3 linked regions of the Neodiprion lecontei genome follow. The protein of the gene in region 3 interacts with the protein of the main gene of each other region in a pairwise test. Links are inferred from orthologs where the notes say so. Each region holds a gene or a part of one and is shown on either strand. Other genes may lie near its edges.

Region 1 (7,011 bases), on a different chromosome or scaffold from region 3:
TAGAGTTTTTTGACCGAGTTTGATCAAATTCGAATCTTTCGCCCGCCATATTGGACCCACTATCTTTTTTCGAATTTTCAAAATCTGATTTCAGGTTCGTAATCAGCAGCTCCAAAAATCGTAGAATACTGTCGTGTTACAAAAGTCGACTCAGCACAACAATGTGTGACTCAAAGGGTTAAATTTCATATTATAAAAGTAAATAAACGCATTTTCGTAACGTCTTGTGAAAAGTAATCTTACCACAACGAAGAAGAGTGAAAAATAGTAGATCATATAAAAATTACATTACGGTCTAGTTTCTTTCCGGAGGTTGTACAATGAAGAATCAATGCTGACGAGAACGATGATGTACAAGTGACACGTAAAAAAAGACGATACAAGAGGCAGTTAAAAAAGTTCCAGATTTACCTAAGACACGCGACATGAGTATATATAATGAATACCTATATGCAACGCATATACATCACTCTTTAATTTGGTTGGGTAAGATTTATGCAATTCAAGCTGAAGTTTATTCGATAATAATTGGTAAACTGAAAAATAATAACACACGGGTTACACGAGTAACGAAGACTCGGTGTTTGAAGAAGATAATTAAATCATCACGCGAGGCTTTCGTGTCACACCTCGTTGCTGATTAGCAATTAAGACATGGCCGGGTTGTCGCGAATTATGTACACGCTGTCACGCTAACCCCTTGTAAACGATAAATTATTCGTAGCGCCGTAGAGTTTGCGATAAAGAATTAAACGTCTTGCGAGAAAAAGTAAAGAAAAAGAATCATTCTCAATTTGTCAAGATAATCGCTTCGAGTTTATTAAACATCTTCGTATCACTACTAAAGTATCTTAAACGCAATGCGGATGCGTCGTGACGTCAATGCGCACTGCTCGTAGGTAATTTGTTAGTAAAATTTTCAACTAGATGTCCAAAAAATGAATGTTGTTGGTGGTTTTTTTTTAAAAAATACATACTGATTACAGATAATTTTTGTGAAGTTTTTATAATCGATACTGGTGGAAAAGTTTTAGCGCTCTGTGAATGTATGACTGGAGTATAATATAGTATATAATGCAGATAACGAATCGTTTTATCAAATGAAAATATATTTACCACGCGGGCATCCGCTACTATAAATAAATTTTTTTATATGCAGTTCATAAAATATTCATGCAGATAATACAGCTGACCCCAATATGCCGGTAGTAAAAGGAAACTAAATTACGAACAGTCTTTATTCTTCAAGAAGTTGGATCTAAAACGATCGATACAAAGATCTATTCCCGAGACAAAAAAAATTGATCAAAAGTTTTTCCTTGTTTCAAAATCACGGAATTTTGAAAATTTATAAATCTGGAAGAACTGATCGCGTGCGAAAAATTGAGAAAAAAAAAAAAATCAGCGACAACATTGTCGCATAGTGTAATAATAAAGTCCTGAAAATTAACGAACAATCTCAGTTCGAAGCTGAGAAGCATAGCTGCATTTTTTTAACAGAAATAGAACAGCTTATCGTTAATGAATACGTGTACAATTTGTAGACTACACGTGGGTACGACGGCAGTGCCTATCTTGAGTCAATAACACTCGAGACTAATCGCTTAATTATTCAAATGCATGTTCAAGAACTCTGCTACCTGTTTACGTATGTCTAACGAGTCAAAAGTTTTTGTATCTCCGCGGTGTGTCGTTAATTGTAATCGTACAAGCGCGTGTCTGTGACGTATGAAAGCGACAAATTGGTGTGTAAAGAATTGGCCAAACAAGTTTTTTCATCAATTATTTAACACCATGCAGCCTGATTTGGAGAATATTCGACAAATTTGTCGTGGTAAAAAAAATCGTTCGTTTCGTAGAAAAGAATTAGAATTACGCAATGGCCAAAAGATCAGCTCTTATCATCCTAGCTGACAATTAATTATGTACACATGTAACGAATCGGTGCAGGAGAAAATCACTATTTCCGGATTCTGAAATAAACTGAAGTTAACTTTGCGACGGAAAAAAAAGGAGGAAAGGAAAATATAAGCAGGGCTGATTGAATTTCGGAAAATTCTATGGTTGTTAAATTATAACGATAGTTTTCAACTTGACGGACGACGATTACTCCGGCGATCTGTAATCGTCAAAAATCAAGCTGACCGGGAATTTTGCCTGATGGAATTGGAGAGGTACACATAATCCGGGATTAACCAGCAGGCAGTGACGAACCTGGGAGTCAATTTCGACTCCCTCGCAATCGGTTCGTTCAAGGTGAACGCGCAGGCGCCGAATGGTCAACAACGGATACCTGGATACAGGATAAAATTTTACCATCGGAATGAATATGATATCAGGTTTGGTTCGTCCCAATTTTTCCAGCTATTCCAGCCAAATAAATACGATTTTCTCACTGATAAATCACTTAAGAGTGGCAAATTTTTCAATAAATAACATTACCTTTAACATCGTTAAACTGTCAACTTTATACTCAAATCTATTTCCTAACTACAGGCTCTAATTTTCTTAGAAACGAATGAAAGAAAAGAAAATCAGAAGAAAGCATTTGTTACAAACAAGTAATATTATACTTTTTTTTATTCAATTAACGTAACACTTACAGCTCCATTTACGCGAACCTATAAAAACGTGCCAAGGACATTTTTTAAAGACACAAATTCCAGGATTGTAAATTTACAGAATTCCCTGACTTTTGCCAGTTTTTCCAGTTTTCTCTGTGCGTACGAACCCTGAATTTAAATTAAACGAAGAGAGACAGAGTGAAATACGAGATATCATCGTCGCTCTGGGCAAGTATCTTATCTTATCAGTCCCGTTGGCGCTCTTTATACTTCGGGTTTCGTTCTCGCTTTTACGCGCCGTATGTACACACATGCATATTTTATTGACGAACCGAGCCGAGATAAGTGACGATGCGCTTTCTGCCGACTGTATTACGCACCTCCGTTATTATTCACCATTCAGGCATAGCAGGTAAGTAGCGGTGCGTGTGGTGAATAAGCGAATGCGGTATATAATCATACGGAATAATCAAATACCTGCGCCAGTTGTCGCAGCACGTGTGTAGCGTGTATTCAGGTGTAAATTCCGAGATTCTTGATGCAGGAATTCGAATCGCTTACTCGGAAACTAATTGTTACGCGCAACTGAAATCCGAGAATCGATTGTCCGAGCTTTTGTAACGCGGCGTGAGAATCGTACAAAGCCAAACAAGAACAGCGGTTGTAAGTTCGTTTCGTAGCGCGGATGTAAAAGTGGATTATGTAATGCAGTTGATGTTTGTCGAGCCGCAAGCTGAGTCCACCCGACACAAGTTACACACGTTTTGTCACGAGTTATGCCGGTGCAGTTATAGCCGGAAAAGAAAGGCGGATCATTATTTACCTTAGCATTCTACTCTGTGAAGGAATGTTCTCCCGACCTCAAGACATATGAAAATCGACGAATCTAATGAGGAATTCGAACGAGTAGGAAGATTAAGATTACACAAGCGTTTTGAGTTACGCTTCTCCAGCAACGAACAAGAGACGCTCGACGAGCGTGTATTCAGTTATCTATCCGAAGTTAGATCTCACGCTAGTTCCGGTTGACAAACTGAGATACCAACAGTTAATATGTGCCGATTGCCGTTTGGACATTAGTCCTGATACATCGCCGTTTGCATTCCTACACTCTGCTGGGAGCAATTTATTGAGGCGGGATTCTCACCGTTCCGAGTTGGAGTCGGTTTTTGGATACAAAAGAAAACCACCCCCCGCATAGCCGGCGCCCCAACTGCCATGTGCCGCCCTCGACCTTTTCCCGTGACAAGGTTCAGCGCCACGGCCATTGGCGGGGCGTAAAATTGATCGGTTTAATCACAACGGCGCGTAACTTTGATGGGAGGTTCGGAAAGGCAAGGAGCGACCCTTGGAGCGTGCTGTCAAACAACAATCACATGATACCGTGCGATACTCCGAACGACCCATCCCAGCTCGAACCTGCGGCCAACATCAGACGGTGGCAAGATGTCAGGCATTTATTGTCGGGTTGACGTCTATATCACTCACCATATCTGCTCCGCGTCTTTCCAGGTATCCAAACATTTCACCGACACTCGAAACACCCGACAAATTAACCTCCGATACACCTAATGTGTCACTTTATCGCCCGTAATATCTATCCGCAAACACAGAAAATGGCGTTACTCACTTGCCAGTGACACGACCGACTCGATTCTGCTACTCGAGCGCCGCTCGCCGCCTCGAAGGGGTGGTCACATTGCGAACTACTTACTACTCGAACACGTACTTACGTATCGAGGAGATGCGCGTCTGCAGTTTATTTCCGAGGTTCGTCTGTTTCGGTTAACCGAGTAGCTGATTGGTCCGTTCCAGCAGAAACTCGATGGCAATTGGTGTACGCACAATTGGAAGCAAAAATTGCCCTTGGAATTAGTCCGGTGTGTATAATTATAGAGAAGTTGCACCGTTGGCAGTTTTTATGACTTCACTATTAGGTTAGGTCGCCGAAAGGGGGACGCTGATAATTTTTGAGTTGGGAGTATTGACGAGAATGCATTTGTTTCATTTCAATGTAATTGTAAATAATGCGATGGTTTTGGAAAAGGATTCTAAAGATCTGGGTGCCTTATTTTGTAACTTTGCGGCAACGTTAAAGAATAAAGTATTCAGATTTAAATCAACGCCTCATGTCCGGGCTGGATAAGTATGTGAAGTCAATACCGACACTACCGTTCTTCGAGTGTTGAGCGCGAGTGAATTCATAGGTCGGCTACAATCGAGGTTTTGATCGAGATCGATATTCAATTGTTAGTGAAACGAAGTCGGTTAAATTTCTGTCGCGTCGTAAAGTGACGTTTGTTAGTTTTCAGAAAATAATTGACGAGTCAACATTTTCATTGTAATTTGTGACGGGATTATCAACACGTCATGGCCGATGATGCAGAGCAGGTAACGCATTTTATTTTTGTTAAGATAATTCAATCCCTAACCTCAACTAACCTAAAATTTTGTCGGTCTTCAATACAGGTTCCTGCCATCAACGTTAAGGAACCGTTAGATCTAATCAGACTCAGCTTGGACGAACGAATTTACGTCAAAATGAGAAACGAAAGGGAACTCAGAGGAAGACTACACGTAATTCTGTTTTAGGAATCTTATTTTGTCAAATTAGTACTGTGTCGATGCATACCAAGCGCTTATTAGGAGTGCGATTCTCTAACACTGATTGATAGATAACAGCGGCACTTCAGTTAGGCGAGCAGAATAATAGTTGCTATTTGCAGTATTATTATTCTTATTAAGTTATAACGATTTGCTAACATAAAGTTAGTGACAATCGTTATTTTCAAGAACCATCGGTCCTCGTCAAATAATAAAAATCAAACAAGTTGCATTATTGTGATAAAATTTTGCGATCCACATTCTATTTCTTCACAACATAAGATAGAATGTCAGCACTGCTCCCAATATTGGAAATTTTAAGTAAACAATAATAACTCATATTTTGATACAATTACCTGACCTACGATCTATTTAAATGAGAATTGATTCATTGAACAAATGGTGGTTAATCATTTTAATTTCAGGCCTATGATCAACATTTAAATATGGTTCTGGGTGAGGCAGAGGAAACTGTAACAACCGTTGAGATAGACGAAGAAACCTACGAGGAAGTTTACAGAACGACTAAAAGAAATATTCCAATGTTGTTTGTTCGTGGCGACGGTGTCATTCTGGTATCTCCGCCAAGCATGAGGGCGCCAATCTAATCCCTACTGACGTAATTAACTCTAAAATAATTTAAAAACAAATAATCACTGGATAAGCTTATGCTACTATTACAGGCAATAATTGATGCAAATAAAATGAACTTTGTGTATGAAAACGTGAAGAATGGAAAAAAACTTAGGCACGCTGTCCTTCTTTCGAAATAGATATTAAAAAATTTTTGTATTATGCTGAAGCTTAACTGATTATCAGCCAAAATTCAATCTACTTCAGTCTAATTTTATGAAGCAATGAAATTGATTTAAAAAATTAGGAATATTACTCACTTGATACTTGTCGACTCCTCATTCAATACGAACATCAAATTATTCACGATTATTTAAAACGCAAAATATATTAGCTCACATTACACACAATTGGAGTAAATAATTCATGAGGCAAAATGCTTTTAGTTTCGAAATGTTACATGCAGATTGAATGAATTCATTGTTGCCTGGTGCAGTTACTTGATTCTAATACCGCAAGACATAATTTGCAAGTTCGATAGTATATTTCTCAATGAAATCCCGCAAACTACAAGCAGATTATCATATTACAGCGATTTGTAGACACGGATTCAACAGACTCTATACAAACTTGTAGGGTATCAGCCTACACTTTGCTGTTCCGACTTTTTGGTAAGCCAGAGCCTAAGAGATGTGATTTACTACTGATCGATGACTCCTGTGGGTTTATTATTTGCGCCGTCAAATCGGAAATTCTCTGATCTTTTAGCTTCATCAAACTTTCGAGATGCGAGACTTTGTGGTTCAGACTATGTATCGTTTCGTTCTTCTCTTGTAGCTCCGTTTTCAGTTTTGTAAAAACCTGACGAGGAACAGTCCTGTTCGCAATCTCATCTGGATTGAGCAAAGATCTCACCGTCTCTATATAACAAATTGTTAAATTAGATATTTCTCCAAATCGTTTGTCTATTTTTTTTAAAGTTTGAACAAACGTCACCTCAAGTGTATAAATCTTGATTACGCAGATGCACGGGTGAAAAGTATTAAAAAGTATTGTTGTTCAGTAGATAATTGATTGAAAAAATTGAAAATTAGAATTTAAAATCATATTTTTATCAGACCATGCAATTTGGTTCAATTCGCGGTTCAATGATTGAACTAAGTTGCAATTTTGCGAGGCCTGAAAAGTTATGCTTGCGATATCCAGTCTGTTCTACCTCCCAGTCTATCAGCGTCTCTGTTCTTACCACCTCTGCCATTTTCTTCGTGAT
Region 2 (7,775 bases), on a different chromosome or scaffold from region 3:
CTCTTTGTCTTATTCCTCTATCATTACAGACGTACCGGCCAGTGGAGTGTATTTCATGATGTACGAATTGCTTCAGAGATGGTTGACACCTGATGGTGGAAAATTGGGTGTTGTGTCGACTATTTTTGCCGGTGGTATGGCTGGAATTGCAAATTGGATCGTAGCGATACCCCCAGATGTATTAAAAAGTAGACTGCAAACTGGTAGGTGAACGAGCCAACGAATTATGACTAAATTACTGCCATGTCCAGTGATACGCAAGCAATCGTTTATTCTTCTTCATCGTTCAACTAGGGGGTGAAGGTTTTAACGTGTGTTTCTAATTTTTCTAAAGCACCGGAAGGCACATACAAAAATGGAATTCGTTCTGTATTCACTCAACTGATGAAGGAAGAGGGACCTCGTGCACTTTACAAAGGATGTGCTCCTGTAATGCTCAGAGCATTCCCTGCAAACGCAGCTTGTTTTGCCGGCTTTGAAGTGGCGATGAATTTCCTCAATTTGGCAGCTCCGAATTTATAACGATTACTGGATCACCTATTTTCACACCCTCGTCGGTGTTATAATTTTTGAAAAACTGCCTTTACTAACTGAAGAATCTTATACAGTATATAATATTATATATATTATTAGTTAAGAATAAGTATATGAATATTGTGAAGAACTGCTCTATCGATAAGTATTACGGATATTAATCGAAATGATTTTACAATTTTATACACGCATTTTATAACCGCCATAAAGTCGGCCCAACCCCCCATTTTTAAAATCGAAACATTCTTCAGTGTGGAATGTTGTTAGCGATTGAACATTTTTATTTAACTCTTGGAAAAAAAAAAAAAATAAGTAAGTGATGTAAAAAGTGGCCAAGCACATTGCAAATTGTTTAATTTCTAAAAGTCCTGTTGCTGAGTAGATAAGCAAAATGATGACTTAAAACGTTCAAAGTTATAATATTGCATTGCTGAGCAGTGCTGAATTCTTATTAATTGATCATTGTCGTAGTTGTCATTATTGTTTCATTGAATAAGACATAGAATAGAGATTTTTCTACAATCATAGACTCCAGTAGATTGCGTGAAAGTAGAGATGGCTGGTTTTATCTAATCTAATTGCTGACAGATACTACGAATATCATGATACCAATATCGTAACCTGCCCACAAAATTAAAGATCTACAATTCTTTACGGTTAATCAATATTCAAAGTTGTTTTACTTCATTGCATATCTTACGAATAACAATGTACATTTGATATAGGATATGAAACTTATTATAGATATGCGATGAATTTTGTACCAATATTTTTATTATTGTTGACCTTTTCTTGTATCGATTTACCAATACATCAAGTACTGTAATTGTTAATACTGACCAGCTTTTAGTTGAAATTGCGTGAAATTAATTCAGAAATTACGGCTATAACAACTGATTGAATTATGTACACGACAGCAAAGAAGACATTTTCTTTTTTCTTTTTATCGTTATTGTTGGAATATATATTTTATCACTCTCTGTGTATGTTTTTATACAGCGAAAAAGGAAGTTTCAAGTAGCAATCTTAGTCTATCATTCCTCCCAATCATCGGTATCAGGTTGCGAGTCTTGTTCACTTGCGGCAGAATTTCGCTCCGAAGTAGCGGACTCGTTTGGTTTCGGAGGTGGAGGAATCATAGCGGACATTCTGCCCAATGCGCCGGTAGCTGTTCCAGAAATACCTCTACGTCTGAGTGATAATTTGTTGTGTAAATCTGCCATTAAATCGCCCCCAACGAAAGCAGAAGACCATTTATCTGTATTTTCATCCTTACGTGCTGCACTCCTTAATTTTGCTCTACCAACTCCGCCCGCGTCGCGGATAGCTGCCATTAGGCTAGACCGATTATCGACCTGATCGACATTTGGAACAGATTTAACAGACTGTGTTTTAGTGTCTTTCGTAACCGATGATGACAATTTTGGAGGTTCGACAAGTGAAGGAGGAGGCGGAGGAGGAGGAGGAGCAGGAGCAGAAGGTGGTGGTTGAGATGTCGAGATTGAAAGTGTGGAGGGATTGGGAGGAGGAGGCGGTGGTGGCCCAGGATGAGAAACGTTACCGATCTCAACCGGAGGTAGAGGTGGTGGAGGATTTTGCTCCGATGATATGCTTGGTAGGCTCAAATTTGGAAGGCTAGGTTCATTTTCTCTACTGTTTTGAGGTTCCATAGTTGCGTCGGGGGCAGAATCAGACGGAGCTGCTGGTAAGGGCAGGTTCACAGTCGGTGTTGTTACCACCGAAGATGGAGCAATTGGACTCTGACTGTGTAGGTCAAGCACAAAACGTTCGTCATCAACTATTCCTGGCAGGTCTGGGAGACTGAGAGGTACGTTTATCTGTGGAACCTGAAAACACAAATGGTATAATCGTACAATCAATTCTTCATAAACGCTGTGCTAGTTTTGAAGTTTTAAACATTGATCATGTGGTATCTATCATCAATTGAATAATACAAACTAGATCTAGTTCTCATACCAAATTTAAGTTGTTAGTGAAGTGTGAAAGTGAAAAGTAAATCTGTTTGATCTGAGCATTCAACTTCTTTGTACTCATAATTTTTTCTTTTCAAATCTAAAGTACCGAAGTGATGAGTTTACAGTATGTTTGTAATATCCACTGAAAAAATGCAGTTTCATAAGATTTGATAGTCGGTACCCTTGTATTGAAAGTAGTAGCATGTTCTAGAACAGTTACGAATTTCTTTCAAATTTCAAACCTCGATCAGTTAAAAAAATAGAGAAAATATTCAAGAAATTTTATATCTTTCAAACTAAAAGCCCTTGTTGGTATAAATCTTAAAAAACGTACTTCGCCTAACGTTGGAGCATAGAAGTAATTTGATGGAGATTCTAGATCATTGGTGTGCCATGACTGCAATATCGAAGTAGGAGCATCTTCGATTTCCCTCTTGTCATTAGCCGATGCCAGGCTTTTTGCGGGAAGTTTACCATACTGGTTGTCTTTGGCGTCGTGTAGCAGTAGCGAACTGACAGAGGTTGGTCTAACTGGAATAGCTCTAGAATGTCCAGAGCCCTTGCCTTTATTTGTTTTACTTTTGACGTGATAAAATTGCAGCTTGTCTTGTATGTTGATGTCAACGTTCCACCGCCCGTCCTTTGACTTTTCGGTGACGATATTTTGCGAGTTCAACTCCTGCGCTATGGGAACTGGGCTCTTATAGACGCTCGGCGGTTTATCCTCCTTTTTAATTGGCAGTTTTAGAGCCAGCGGATACTCTCTGTAGACATGATTCGAGGGGTATTTTGCTGCAGAGTATAGCTTCACCGCCTTCAAGCTTAGGTTATTTTGCAGGTGGTCTAATCTGCCCTGAAGTTTCACAGCGCGACCTTTTATACCGGCTAATCTGTAACAACGTATCAAAGATGAGATTTTTTAGTATATTTTCCAACCATTAGTTCTTTTCTTCTACCTTGTGAAAAATGAAAACGCTAATTAGTTATTCTTTCTTCAATCTCTGAGAGTGAAGACCAGATTTGCGCTACACAACTACATTTCATAACGAAAGAACACAAACAACTTTGTCTTGAATACCTTTTTGTATTTTCCGATAACCGCTCGTCGATACAGCTAAATATGCTTGCTACAGCAGAGTTGAGCGAATCTAATGCTTCTGCAATCTGGACTATGGTTTCCTCCTGTCGCAAATCATGCGGAATCACACCTGAAACACGATGCTGAAAATTAAAACTTGCCGAAGAGAGAATAATTATTTGTTTAAATAAATATTATTGTGACTGTTATTGTCATCTGATATTTAAAGATTAAAAATCATACGATTTCATAACGTTATCTATCCAAAGATCATAGATTATTTTGCATAACACTGTGGTCTGCGTTCGAATGAATTTGTTTAGAAATCTCATCTATCTCTCGAATCAATTAAAAACAATGCGAATGACTGATGTTTGAGTATTTATAACACGAAATGTATAAAAATTACGCCGAATGTATCATTATTACCAATTTCTATGTGCCCCTGCATTTCTCCTGATTCGATAAGGTCAATTTTTATACAAACAAACGACGATTGATTCAAATATCAATCCGACGCCGGCTCCTTCCCCCGAAAAATGTATTGACACTTAACAACAATCGCGAACCATTAACTCATCGCCATAAACTCTCTCATATCATTCGAGTTGTATTTAAATCTGGTTTAAACTACTCAAAACAAGTGCTACTGCATATCGTCTGCATAGGCGAACGACTGCCATTCTTAGTTCTGCCACTTTACGCCCATTAATTCTTTATCAGGTTAGGTTATGTTAGGTTCCGTTCCGTCCGTCAAAAACTGGCCAAAGATTGCAATTCTTTACCCAGTTTCGAATCGAATCCAAAGCGCGAGGCGGCTGAAGATCGCATGCGTAGCAAAGAGGATGAGAAAAGAAAATACGAACGCAGATTGATTTCCGTGATTATAATCGCGGCTTCGTGCAGTCTGTAATAAATTCAAATTTCAAATAACGGCCGCACTTAAAACCCATTCGCGATCCAATTCGCAATCGACCGCCTTAAGGAGAGTAAAGATGGCGGCTTGACGATTCCTGGCCGAGTGAATTCAGCCGGTGGATTAAACGGGAGTAGTGAGTTAAAAAGGGTATCGCTGGGTTAATGAGAGGTTTCGATTTCGTCGACGATCGATGCAGAAACCGCCTAGGTTTTAGTTTCTGTAAAATAAAACGATAATCCATCGATCTCTGCATACGCTCGAGCTGGATTTGTTGAAGGTGGTGTAGATGCTCGTAACTGTTGGAATCGCAGTATCCTCGATCTTCCGATTGTTCTTCAGCTTGTAATTTTCGTCGGGTGGCTAGAATTTCAGGCTCCGTTAATCTGTACAGAAATCGTGGTATTCCTCGACTACTCTTAACCTCGTCGTCGTCGATCATGGAGGCCCTCATTCCAGTGATAAATAAACTCCAAGATGTATTCAACACCGTTGGTGCTGACGCCATACAATTGCCTCAAATCGTCGTTCTCGGAACACAGGTTAATTATAATTTCACCTATACTATTGACAATGTGTCGGTACGTTTCAAACCATTGATTTAGACAGTCTCGCGTTTCTTCCTTAAAAGCCCGATCTTGCCCTCGGATCCTTGATCCTTTATCTTTGTGATCCTACTTGTCGTCGATATGACTTTTTCAGGTATTGTATTTCAAATTCGAAGAATATTATACTAAAATTATTTTACTTCACTCATTAAAATTACTATCGTTTAAAAGTTTCTATTTTTATCGATGATTTTTACTAGTTTTAGCATTTTCTTACAGTTGAATTTATTTTTTGCTGATGAGACCAGTGATGAAAGAAAACATATTTTTTTTCTTTTCCTAATGGAATCTTGCAAATCAATTCTTTGAAAACACTATTTTTTAATTTTATATCCATCTTTGGTTTCATTTTTACTCCTAAATTATTCGTCCACCTTAACGCCTACTTTCATAAAACATTTCTCCAATTTTTAGATTCTCATTGTTAGGTTACATTGCATGATCTGTGAATGACAACAAATATGAATTTTCTTAACAGGATCCAGCAAAAACTATTTTTCCAATTCAACAATCATTAAAATGAACATACAAGTGAAACTTTAAAAAAACGTTATCCCATTCCAAAATTACTTTTCTTTCATTACCACTTCCGGTATTAGTTATTTAGTGATTGCTAATGATTTTCAAAGATAAAAATTTTAATCCCTGTGCTAAACTATGAAAACACTTATTCTTGAGGTTGAGAGTTATCAGAATTGTTGATAAATTGAAATGAATCTAATTCCAGGAATAATTTTCTACTATGAATTAGAACTCCAGAAAACTGTGCAGTCACAAATAGTTTGGGAAAATGTTTATTTCTATGATGAATTACCTCTTCCAATTCCCTTGTGTTATCCATACATTATCCCATTTGAGAATGAAAAGAATATCCGACAAATGAAATGAGAATATATGTTTTCCATTGTATGCAGAGCTCCGGGAAATCGTCCGTCATAGAGAGTTTGGTAGGCCGCTCGTTTCTGCCCAGAGGGACTGGTATAGTGACTCGTAGGCCGTTGATTCTTCAGCTCGTTTATGCGCCGAAAGATGACAGGGAGCACAGAACAGCCGAAGATGGGACGCTGACCCTTGACGAGTGGGGTGTATTTTTGCACACTAAAAATAAAATATTTACAAACTTCGATGATATCAGATTGGAAATTGAGGCTGAAACGAATCGGATGGCTGGATCCAACAAGGGAATTTGTCCTGAACCGATTAATCTGAAGGTTTATTCAACCTCGGTTGTAAATCTGACACTCGTCGACTTGCCAGGGATCACCAAGGTCCCCGTTGGCGATCAGCCCGAGGATATTGAAGCGCAAATCAGAAACTTGGTTCTGAAACACATTTGCAATCCAAATTCCATAATATTGGCCGTTGTAACCGCAAACACGGACATGGCGACCAGCGAGAGCCTCAAACTCAGCAAAGACGTTGATCCCGATGGAAGGAGAACCCTCGCAGTTGTTACTAAACTGGATCTAATGGACGCTGGTAATTTGACCAACTAAATAGTAACTTTGAACTGATATCTGATGTATTGAATTTTGTGGCGACGTATTTCTTTCTATCCTTCTTTTTTCTCTCTTAAACTGGAGTTAAGTTTAAGAATTGATTTGATTAGCTAATCTTGATCTGAAAATTTGTCCCGAAGAATTATATTTTTCTTGGAATTATTTTATCATTCATTTATACAACCCTGCTTGAGAGTCGCTTGTTATTTTGGGTTTGAGGAACGGATGCGATTGATATCCTGTGCGGACGGGTGATTCCTGTGAAGCTGGGGATCATAGGAGTTGTAAATCGTTCACAGCAAGACATAATGAATAACAAGTCTATCCAGGAAGCTCTTAAGGACGAAGCTGCCTTCCTGCAACGAAAATATCCTACTTTGGCAAACAGAAACGGCACTCCTTACTTAGCAAAAACCCTCAACAGACTTTTAATGCATCATATTCGCGATTGCCTTCCCGATTTAAAGGTAAGCCTTTGCTAAATTGTTAGTCAGGAGAGCATGTAAATCTGGTCCCTTCCTTCGGCCATGTAACAATTATTTATTCAAACAACAGACACGCGTGAATGTGATGGTCTCCCAATTCCAAACACTTTTAAACTCATACGGAGAGGATGTGGGAGACAAGAGCCAGACACTGCTTCAGATAATAACCAAGTTTGCGAGCAGTTACTGTTCGACGATTGAGGGAACAGCAAGAAATATAGAGACTACCGAGCTCTGTGGAGGTGCTCGTATCTGCTACATATTTCACGAGACATTTGGACGAACACTAGATTCCATTCATCCACTGGCTGGTCTAACTAGGATGGATATTTTGACTGCAATTCGAAATGCGACGGGTCCCAGACCGGCTCTCTTTGTTCCCGAGGTCTCGTTTGAACTCCTGGTCAAGCGACAGATCAGGAGACTCGAAGAGCCTTCGCTACGCTGCGTCGAACTAGTTCACGAAGAGATGCAGAGAATCATTCAACACTGCGGCACCGAAGTTCAGCAAGAAATGCTTCGTTTTCCAAAACTACACGAACGGATCGTCGACGTTGTTACGCATCTTCTACGCCGACGATTACCGACAACTAATTCTATGGTGAAGATATTTCAAATACATTACACGCAACTTTGGTCTGCGTTTTGTGAAAATGGAGCATTGACATCGATTTCACTT
Region 3 (7,765 bases):
GTGTGTGTGTGTAGTGTACAAATGTCCTCGGTTTGGCGACATATTTGATCCACGCGCGTGTTCAATTGCATGCATCACGGCGGAGCTATAGTCACGCCGCGCAGGGAGATATGGAAAATATATGGAAAAATTACGGGATTGGCACGCGGTTGTGGCGGGGATAGCGGCAAACCCCGAGCCGAGATGAAGTATTGAGGGAAAAATTTTGCAATTACGGAGCGTCCGCGTCGAGAGCGTAGATTAATTGTTGTTATGATGCTTTCGAAGCTTCGCCGATCCACCGTACTAGCTCACGTACATACATACATCTACATACTTATACGTTTAATACACAAACAGAGGGGTAGCACACAACTTACCTCGGCCGGCCTTTTCGTTCCCTTGATTTCGCATTTCGCGTCATCTGAGGTTTTTTCGTTATCAATCGCCTTCTCGACGGCAACGTCGTTATTCTCCTTGGTACTCATGACGACGGTGGTTTTTTTTTCTAATTTGGTAATTGTTAAAACGTAAGAAACTTGTGTGTCTTCGATGCCTCGATTTCGGCGTGGGACACGACACAACGACGGCGGCGTCGGTTTCCGGCGAGTGCACGAAACGCTTACGAAAGCGGAGGACTAGCGGACCTCGGAGCGGACTGAAGCGGACTACTTCACTCACTCGGCGTACCGTCCAACCTGGCTTTGTTCAAAAATGAAGATGGCGCGGGTTTGAAGCTCGATAAATCCCTGATTGGTCGATCTCTCTTCAGGCCTCGCCGCACCTGAAATGCACCGATTAATAAAGTGAATAAATTTTAACATTTCATGAGTAATTATTCAACCTTTATACCTTGCAATCAATATCTATATTGAATAAATAAAATTATTCACTTCCGCGGACGAGGGGTTTGAGAGTACGAAGCGTACTTCGGAGCCCTGGTTCGAGGCTTTGTCGCTTGATTCAAACTGGCTTTAGCGCTGCAATTCGTCGATCAAATTGTTACTCAAATTACGTCCAAAAAAGTTTTTTAACGGTATCTAAAATTCTATTTCGTAAAATAACTAAGCGGAAATAATTCAATCCTGTTAAACTTCCTGACGAGAAAAAGCCGGCTTACCTACCAAATATACGTGGGTATCGCAGCGGCACGTGATACTCTTACTCGACAGTGAATAACGTAGAGAAAAAGATTCCTATTTTATTCGTCATCGGTTCCTTGCTCGAGATATTGATCGAAAGAAGTATCGGAGGTTGAAGAGATCAGAAAACGGTGGAATATATTGGTATTAAACTCATGCGGACAAGTCTACGCAAGCGTACCGCGCAGCTAACAGGCATTTCCGGCCTGCCTCCGCTTCCTTTTTCTTCTAAACAACCAAGATGGTAGGTGAATTGTGTTTTATTTTGTGGAGTTTCATCCATCAGCATCGACTTGCAAAACGAATAGATTGATTTTCTTAATGGAATCATATCATGATCAAACCACCCGAGCACTATATTTCAATTGATATTTCTCTTCAATCGCCAGTTCGCGATCTCGTTCGAAGGGACGACATGACAGACGGTCAACATAACCTCGAAATCCCCTACTGATACTAATAAATCTTAATACGTTGTTAAAAAATCAGTTACCGACGTGGGGACTAGATAAGACGGACAATTCCAAAAATTTCATGTATTGCGCGAGGTTTTTACTGCACGTGAACATCTCATGGGGCTCTTCTGCCTGCATTTCACACAGATACCTGCATCCTGAGCTTAACAACTTTCGTTACAGGTGAACGTACCCAAACAGAGGCGCACGTTCTGCAAGAAGTGCAAGGTCCACAAGCCGCACAAAGTCACCCAATATAAGAAAAGCAAGGAAAGGCATGCGTCTCAGGGCCGAAGACGTTATGATCGTAAGCAACAAGGTTTCGGAGGTCAAACGAAGCCCATTTTCAGAAAGAAGGTACGTATTCTTATTCCATATTACTCGCTAACTTTAATTGCTCATTTGATATTTTACCACAGTTTTTTTTTTTCAAATTTAAGGTAGCTTAAAAATTCTAAAACTTTCCTAAAAAATTCTAATAAAAAAAGTGAGTAATTTTTTTTTTAACTGATGGGAACATTGGTTTTTCATTCATTTCTGGAGTTGTCATGCTTGAAGCTTCTACAGAACTGGACTAACTGATCAGTATGTCATAACCCAGAGAGCATTTTATTGATTGACGTTATTTTCCTTGCAGGCTAAGACAACCAAGAAAATTGTGCTAAGGATGGAATGCACTGAGTGCAAGTACAGAAAGCAAATCCCACTTAAACGTTGCAAACATTTCGAGCTGGGAGGTGATAAGAAGAGGAAGGTGGGTTTTTCAAAACCTAGTGCATCTAGATCGTTTTATATTCGGTGCTGAGATGTGTGGAAATTGATTCCAAACAGTTCAAACTTGTTTAAGTCTTTGTGCCATTTAAATAATCTGAAACAAGTCTCGAAATTCCATATGGTGATATTTCAAAAGCGATTGAAACATTTATCGATATTAGTCTGATGAGAGTTTGAGATATTTGTCCCTAGGAATTTTACCCACAACTAACGCACCTAAACCGAATGGAAGTAACACGCATAAAAATTAATTTAAACCAGTAACCAATTGCAGAATATTTTGTTTTCTATTTACAGGGCCAGATGATCCAGTTCTAAACCTTGCGTTTAAGATTGTAACTATACAAACAAAAAAATAAAATAAATCGTTCAAGATTTGAAATGTGTTTATTTACTAAATGGTTATATCAAACAACAATGCATATATTACGTTTTCTTTTCTTTTCTATCAACTGGGTCTGTCAAAATTTTTCCAACATGACAAATATTTTACTTCGTGAGCGCTGTGAATACTCTTTGTACCTTACTGTTTCATATGCATACTTCCTTTACTCTTCAGTTTATTATCAAGCATCATCCTCATCAGTAGTTGTATTTGTCTCAACTATTTCCGTTATTGGAACCAACTGATCAGGATTGCTGTTTGAACATCAAAGTGTGTTAAATTCTTTGTCACATATTCTGTGAATGTAGTCTTATATTCAGTATATCTTGAAACAAGACACATTTTCGAAATTCTATTCGCATCCGTAATACCTAATAAAACTATTCAAAAAGGTAATTTGAAGTAATTTTGGAACGAATATGCCGATTCCAAAATATCTGCATTTATATTCTTGAAGAAACATAAGAGATTACATGAAAGATCTTGAATAAATATTATATACTGACACAAACTGAAAAGAAGGCTACAGCAGGTCTATGAAGATTGTTTGACATTTTTGTAACAGCATTTCAGCCTATCCCAGTACATAGCCCCTTTCAAATTTTAAAACAAATTCATGTATAAATAGTCTAAATATTAAATGTTAGAAGAGTTATTTTCTGGAAATACTCACTCTAGCAAAAGTGGATCTAGACCCTCTTGTTTCATTTTCAATTTGACAGCCTGCGCAGGTACGCCAAACTGAAGCATTTTAAAGAATTTTGCATATCGTGGATCTTTACTGATGGGTTGCGTGTTACTAATTTCACTTTTTTCATCAATCAACTCAGCTTTCACCGCTTCAATCTCATTTGTCTGGTCTTGTTCCACCGTTTTCTGTTCTTGATCACTTGATTCAGTGATTGGTGAAGACTCTGTCTTTGTTGGAAAGTCAATCTCTGGTATCGACGCGAGCTGATAAAAAAGCACAGCGTCTCATTTTAATTATTCACATACATATTAAATGAAGAAAAAGTGCAAAGTCGACTTAACACTTGCGAATAGTCCCTCTGCTGTAATGTGTGATGCTGAATAAACATGTTAAGATAATTAGTAGTTTTGCTTACCCTAGATTCAAGGATTCCTAGCGACGCTTCAACTTTTTGCAATTTATTTTCAAACTCAAACAGTTTTTCCTCGCAGGATAGAGCGAACTTGTTCAAAAATGTTACTGTATGTACAATAAAATGATTAACGAACGTTATAGTTCTTTTTTGATGAATCGGCGGGACCTAAAAATAAATGTTATTCTATACGTTAGAGACTCAAAATCCAACTACACAAATTTTCGATTTCTGTTAATCTGTACAGGATGGACGCATTAAATGTTAATAATCTATTTACGTCAGCTAAAACTTTTAGACCTTACAGGTCATATGAACTTTGTTTCTGATATTTACACCATGTGTACCCAGATCAGTCCAGATCCAAGTAACTGGCAGACCCAAAATTTAGTTTCGTTGCGCTCATGACTACACATAGAAAACTAATTCTAATTGGCTGCCGAGTAATTAATAGAAGTCGGACGAGCATAGAAATTGTTGGTAGGTATAGAATCAGAAACGCGATTATCGTAGATGATTTTACGATTGATATGTAAACTAATAAAAATTTGAACTGTAGATACGAAAATTGGTGACATGGGAACCGGGGGACGAACGATATCGTGTTGTACCTTGTACGAAGGACTAATTAGGATAAAATTAACTAACCTTAGTAAAGTCAACGGTAGGTTCGATCATCGGAATCCCATAATCGTTCATGTTGCACAGTTTGCTAAGAAGAGAGTGAAATATTGTACAATGTAACCTAGAGTCTCCTAAAGTGACGACTTCTGATGGTCAACTGATTTCTGACATTTCTCCATTTGACGTACGATTTGACGTTTCGTTCCGAGGGACCCTCTAGCAGACACTGACAGAGTCACCCACGCTTGATGACAAATTTACGCGCTGAATTTGAGTAGAGTACATAACCAAGATTCACTCTTTGCGCGCTAACCCTAATAATGCACGTTGCCTGAAGAATATTCTTCAGTCAACGTAATACATCAACCAACACATTGAATTCGTTTTTAACACACAATGAATGGAATTCGAAACGGCGGATTTTGTTATCATAACCACCTCCGCGGTGTTAGTCGAAAGAATACACCGCACATTTCCCACCGCACAAAACAAATACCCAAATACATCAACATATCTACGTACGACTATTTTTGCACATTTCCTAATTGACTATGACAAAGTTATAGTGTTTGAAGGTGCAGAAAGTGCAGTTCAACTTTTCTCTTCAATCGGCTCGACTCATTGTACCTTTATTGTTAAAAACGCTTCTGTACCACAAAATCTAATTGACAATTATCGTCGATATTAATGCATTATACGTATAATATAGTTGTGTGTATAACTTATAAAACTACAATAGATTGTTCTTAATCCCTATAAACTTCCGCATAAACTAAATTTGCATGCTTGAAATATCACAGACATATTATGATACATGTGCAGTGTTCTTTGATGCTCTTCTAACCGGATTTAATTGTGCTTGTCAAATAATATACACTGTAACCGGATATTTTTATATTTGAGGGTATAAACAATATAACGATAATTGGTTACCCTACGGCGCAGTCGCTAACCTAAATAATTAGATAGAGAGAGATACTAAGGGAGAAAGATACAATTGTTGGGCGCCAGACGCACATGCGTCAAAAATAGATAATTAGAGAAAAAGACAACGATAAAGATAAAGGTAATAGATAAAGGTAAGGTCAGGTTCTACGACGGTTTTGCACAGTTCGCTCAGAGAGACAAGATAATGGTAGAGGGGCGGAGTCGAATCCAATAGATAAAATAAGAAACAGGTGAAGCAGGAATAATATCAAATATATTAAACAAGAAGCGATAAGTTTACTGACAAGCAAGTAGCGGAAGAGTTTGCGATACAAATACGATATATGCGATAATTAACAATAGTTACAGCCAGAGAAAGGTTAAGCGAGAGAGTTAACAATTAACGGAACGTTTTCCGAATAAGCGGGAAATATGAGCAAGCTCGCGATATTAAAGGTAATGATTAACACGGTTCTATGACAGGTAGGCAGAACAGAAGAGATACACTGTACTTAAATTAAGCGGTAAGCAAATAAATCATAAAATGTGAGAAGCGATTATAACTCATGCGAAATACAACAATTGAAATAGTTATCACATTACCAGAATGATCAGAAATAGGCAGACAGGGAATTATGAATTACAAGGTAAATTCAAGCGATAGGTCAAATAGAAAATTATTATAAAATATAGAGAATAAAAGATAATACGTAGTCTCTGGTTTGCGGTAAGTGCGAGAGAAAGAAAGATAATAATCGGTACGATAAAAGGTAATTCAAGATAAGGCAAACAATATTCAAGGTAATTAATATGCCACGTACGGCAAACCCAATAGACTACGGACAACTACGATCAGCGATATAAGCGAAGAAAATAGTGAAAAAGATGTTATGCGATATGGCACAATACTCCAATGTCAAATGAACGACGAACGGGACCGCGCAGCGATATAAGATCGCTCCCGCGGTACTCTCACTAAGATGCGATAATCAACGATAATAGATAAAGAGACAGATAGAAACTAATCAGAGAAAATATAACAAAATAGTAATGCTCAGTAGCTAAGATAAAAATTGATCCTTTAACGGAACGCGCTGCTAGACAGCGATATTAGACATTCAAATATTCTAAAAGAGAAAGATAATAAGATAAAGCGATAGTCACTACAATGCGTAAGTAATAATCAACCAGTCGCGAAGTTACTTGCAATAAGACAGAGAAAGGGACAAGATAAGAGATAATAAGGTACGAGCCCAGGTGGCTCAAGCAGACCAACTGCAAGGTAAAGAGAAAAGATACGAGCCCAATTGGCTCAAGCAGACCAACTGCAAGGTAAAGAGAGAAAGAGATAAAGGTAAAGGTACGATATATTGCAAGTAATCTCGTGGCTTCACAAAATAGCAAAGGAACCTCACTTACGTAAAAGAAGATATAGTAGATACTACAGGATGCGGTACACTAGCGATAAACTTAATACAATGATAGCCAAAAAAAAAACTCTATTACAGATATCGAGAACACGTCTTTCTTAATTGACAACTGAACGTAGAGTAATGAGATGAGCGATGATCCTGATTTTCATCGAGCTGGTGTCACGTGATTCTTCCCAAAATTTGCGGTATCTTAATTGGACCAGCTGGTCCCGTGGCCTGGTCCACGGATAGGCGGCGATAATCCCTCGCCGTTTGATGTTCTTTTCCCTCGACGACGGGTATCGAGGTATCAGGACGTCGGAAGGTGGTTAGAGATGTTTTCCTGCAGCTATGCGGTATCGTTGGTGAGAAGGGGGTGGGGTCGTACTGCTCAGGTATTGCGATATTGATGTGTGCGGCAATGTTACGTCACCGGTCTCCTGGACTTGCGACAGACTGTAACTCACTCCTTGTTTTACTGGTACTCCCCGTTGTAGCTATTTCGTCGGCGCTGCATCCCGGCCCTCGCTCATGGAAGCCCTCATGCCGGAACGATCTGGTGGTGATGGCCCTCAACCCGGATCCCCACACTAGATCCACCAGATCCACGTGGTCAGCATATCATTAGCCTATTCCACGCCGCAGTCCTTCGATAAGACGGTTCGTTAAGAGAAAACCGTCTTCTATTGTATAGTCAACGACTTAGTAGATATTAGGGTCGGTTCAGCTCCAGGCTGATAAGTATCGTCGACGGGAGGCTTCATTGTGTTTTTGACGCACAGCCCTGTACGCCGCCTGACGATGCATCCGAGCGGTAGAAACATTCGTTCGTGGTTCGGCTCCTGGCCGATAAGTCTCAAATAGTTGGAGGTGCTGTTGTGCATCACGCACGACCCTTTTCGACAACTAGATAGGCATCCATCGGGAGTGGTTTCAGCGGTATTCGTTCGTCTGTAGTCGGTGG

Evidence for each region.
Region 1: the proteins of WASH complex subunit 3 (region 3) and wiskott-Aldrich syndrome protein family member 3 interact in a two-hybrid assay, tested with the Caenorhabditis elegans proteins (2 studies listed by BioGRID). The link is inferred for Neodiprion lecontei from reciprocal best matches to the Caenorhabditis elegans genes ddl-1 and wve-1.
Region 2: the proteins of WASH complex subunit 3 (region 3) and WASH complex subunit 1 interact in binary tests that used the Caenorhabditis elegans proteins (3 or more experiments, as listed by UniProt). The link is inferred for Neodiprion lecontei from reciprocal best matches to the Caenorhabditis elegans genes ddl-1 and ddl-2.

What each region holds. Positions count from the first base shown.
Region 1 is NC_060260.1:25,384,898-25,391,908, reverse strand, and holds the start of wiskott-Aldrich syndrome protein family member 3, read right to left. Parts: upstream 4,214-7,011; 5' UTR 4,053-4,213; intron 1-4,052. Other genes in the region: U6 snRNA-associated Sm-like protein LSm3, read left to right, coding at 4,935-4,955, 5,034-5,141, 5,594-5,776; sperm flagellar protein 1-like, read right to left, coding at 6,929-7,011.
Region 2 is NC_060264.1:30,292,117-30,299,891, forward strand, and holds WASH complex subunit 1, read right to left. Parts: upstream 4,489-7,775; 5' UTR 4,420-4,488; coding exon 4,374-4,419; intron 4,282-4,373; exon of another isoform or gene 4,040-4,281; coding exon of another isoform or gene 4,018-4,039; intron 3,719-4,017; coding exon 3,589-3,718; intron 3,401-3,588; coding exon 2,845-3,400; intron 2,382-2,844; coding exon 1,569-2,381; 3' UTR 1,287-1,568; downstream 1-1,286. Other genes in the region: congested-like trachea protein, read left to right, coding at 30-203, 335-522; dynamin-1-like protein, read left to right, coding at 4,945-5,046, 6,027-6,591, 6,831-7,078, 7,167-7,697. UniProt on the Caenorhabditis elegans protein: Acts as a component of the WASH core complex that functions as a nucleation-promoting factor (NPF) at the surface of endosomes, where it recruits and activates the Arp2/3 complex to induce actin polymerization, playing a key role in the fission of tubules that serve as transport intermediates during endosome sorting.
Region 3 is NC_060262.1:41,780,266-41,788,030, forward strand, and holds the start of WASH complex subunit 3, read right to left. Parts: upstream 4,694-7,765; 5' UTR 4,538-4,693; coding exon 4,487-4,537; intron 4,007-4,486; coding exon 3,842-4,006; intron 3,690-3,841; coding exon 3,409-3,689; intron 3,329-3,408; coding exon of another isoform or gene 3,310-3,328; exon of another isoform or gene 3,242-3,309; intron 2,990-3,241; coding exon 2,917-2,989; 3' UTR 2,669-2,916; coding exon of another isoform or gene 2,648-2,668; 3' UTR 2,331-2,647; coding exon of another isoform or gene 2,214-2,330; 3' UTR 1,934-2,213; coding exon of another isoform or gene 1,760-1,933; 3' UTR 1,366-1,759; coding exon of another isoform or gene 1,363-1,365; 3' UTR 832-1,362; intron 764-831; 3' UTR 360-763; intron 1-359. Other genes in the region: 60S ribosomal protein L44, read left to right, coding at 1,363-1,365, 1,760-1,933, 2,214-2,330, 2,648-2,668. UniProt on the Caenorhabditis elegans protein: Acts as a component of the WASH core complex that functions as a nucleation-promoting factor (NPF) at the surface of endosomes, where it recruits and activates the Arp2/3 complex to induce actin polymerization, playing a key role in the fission of tubules that serve as transport intermediates during endosome sorting.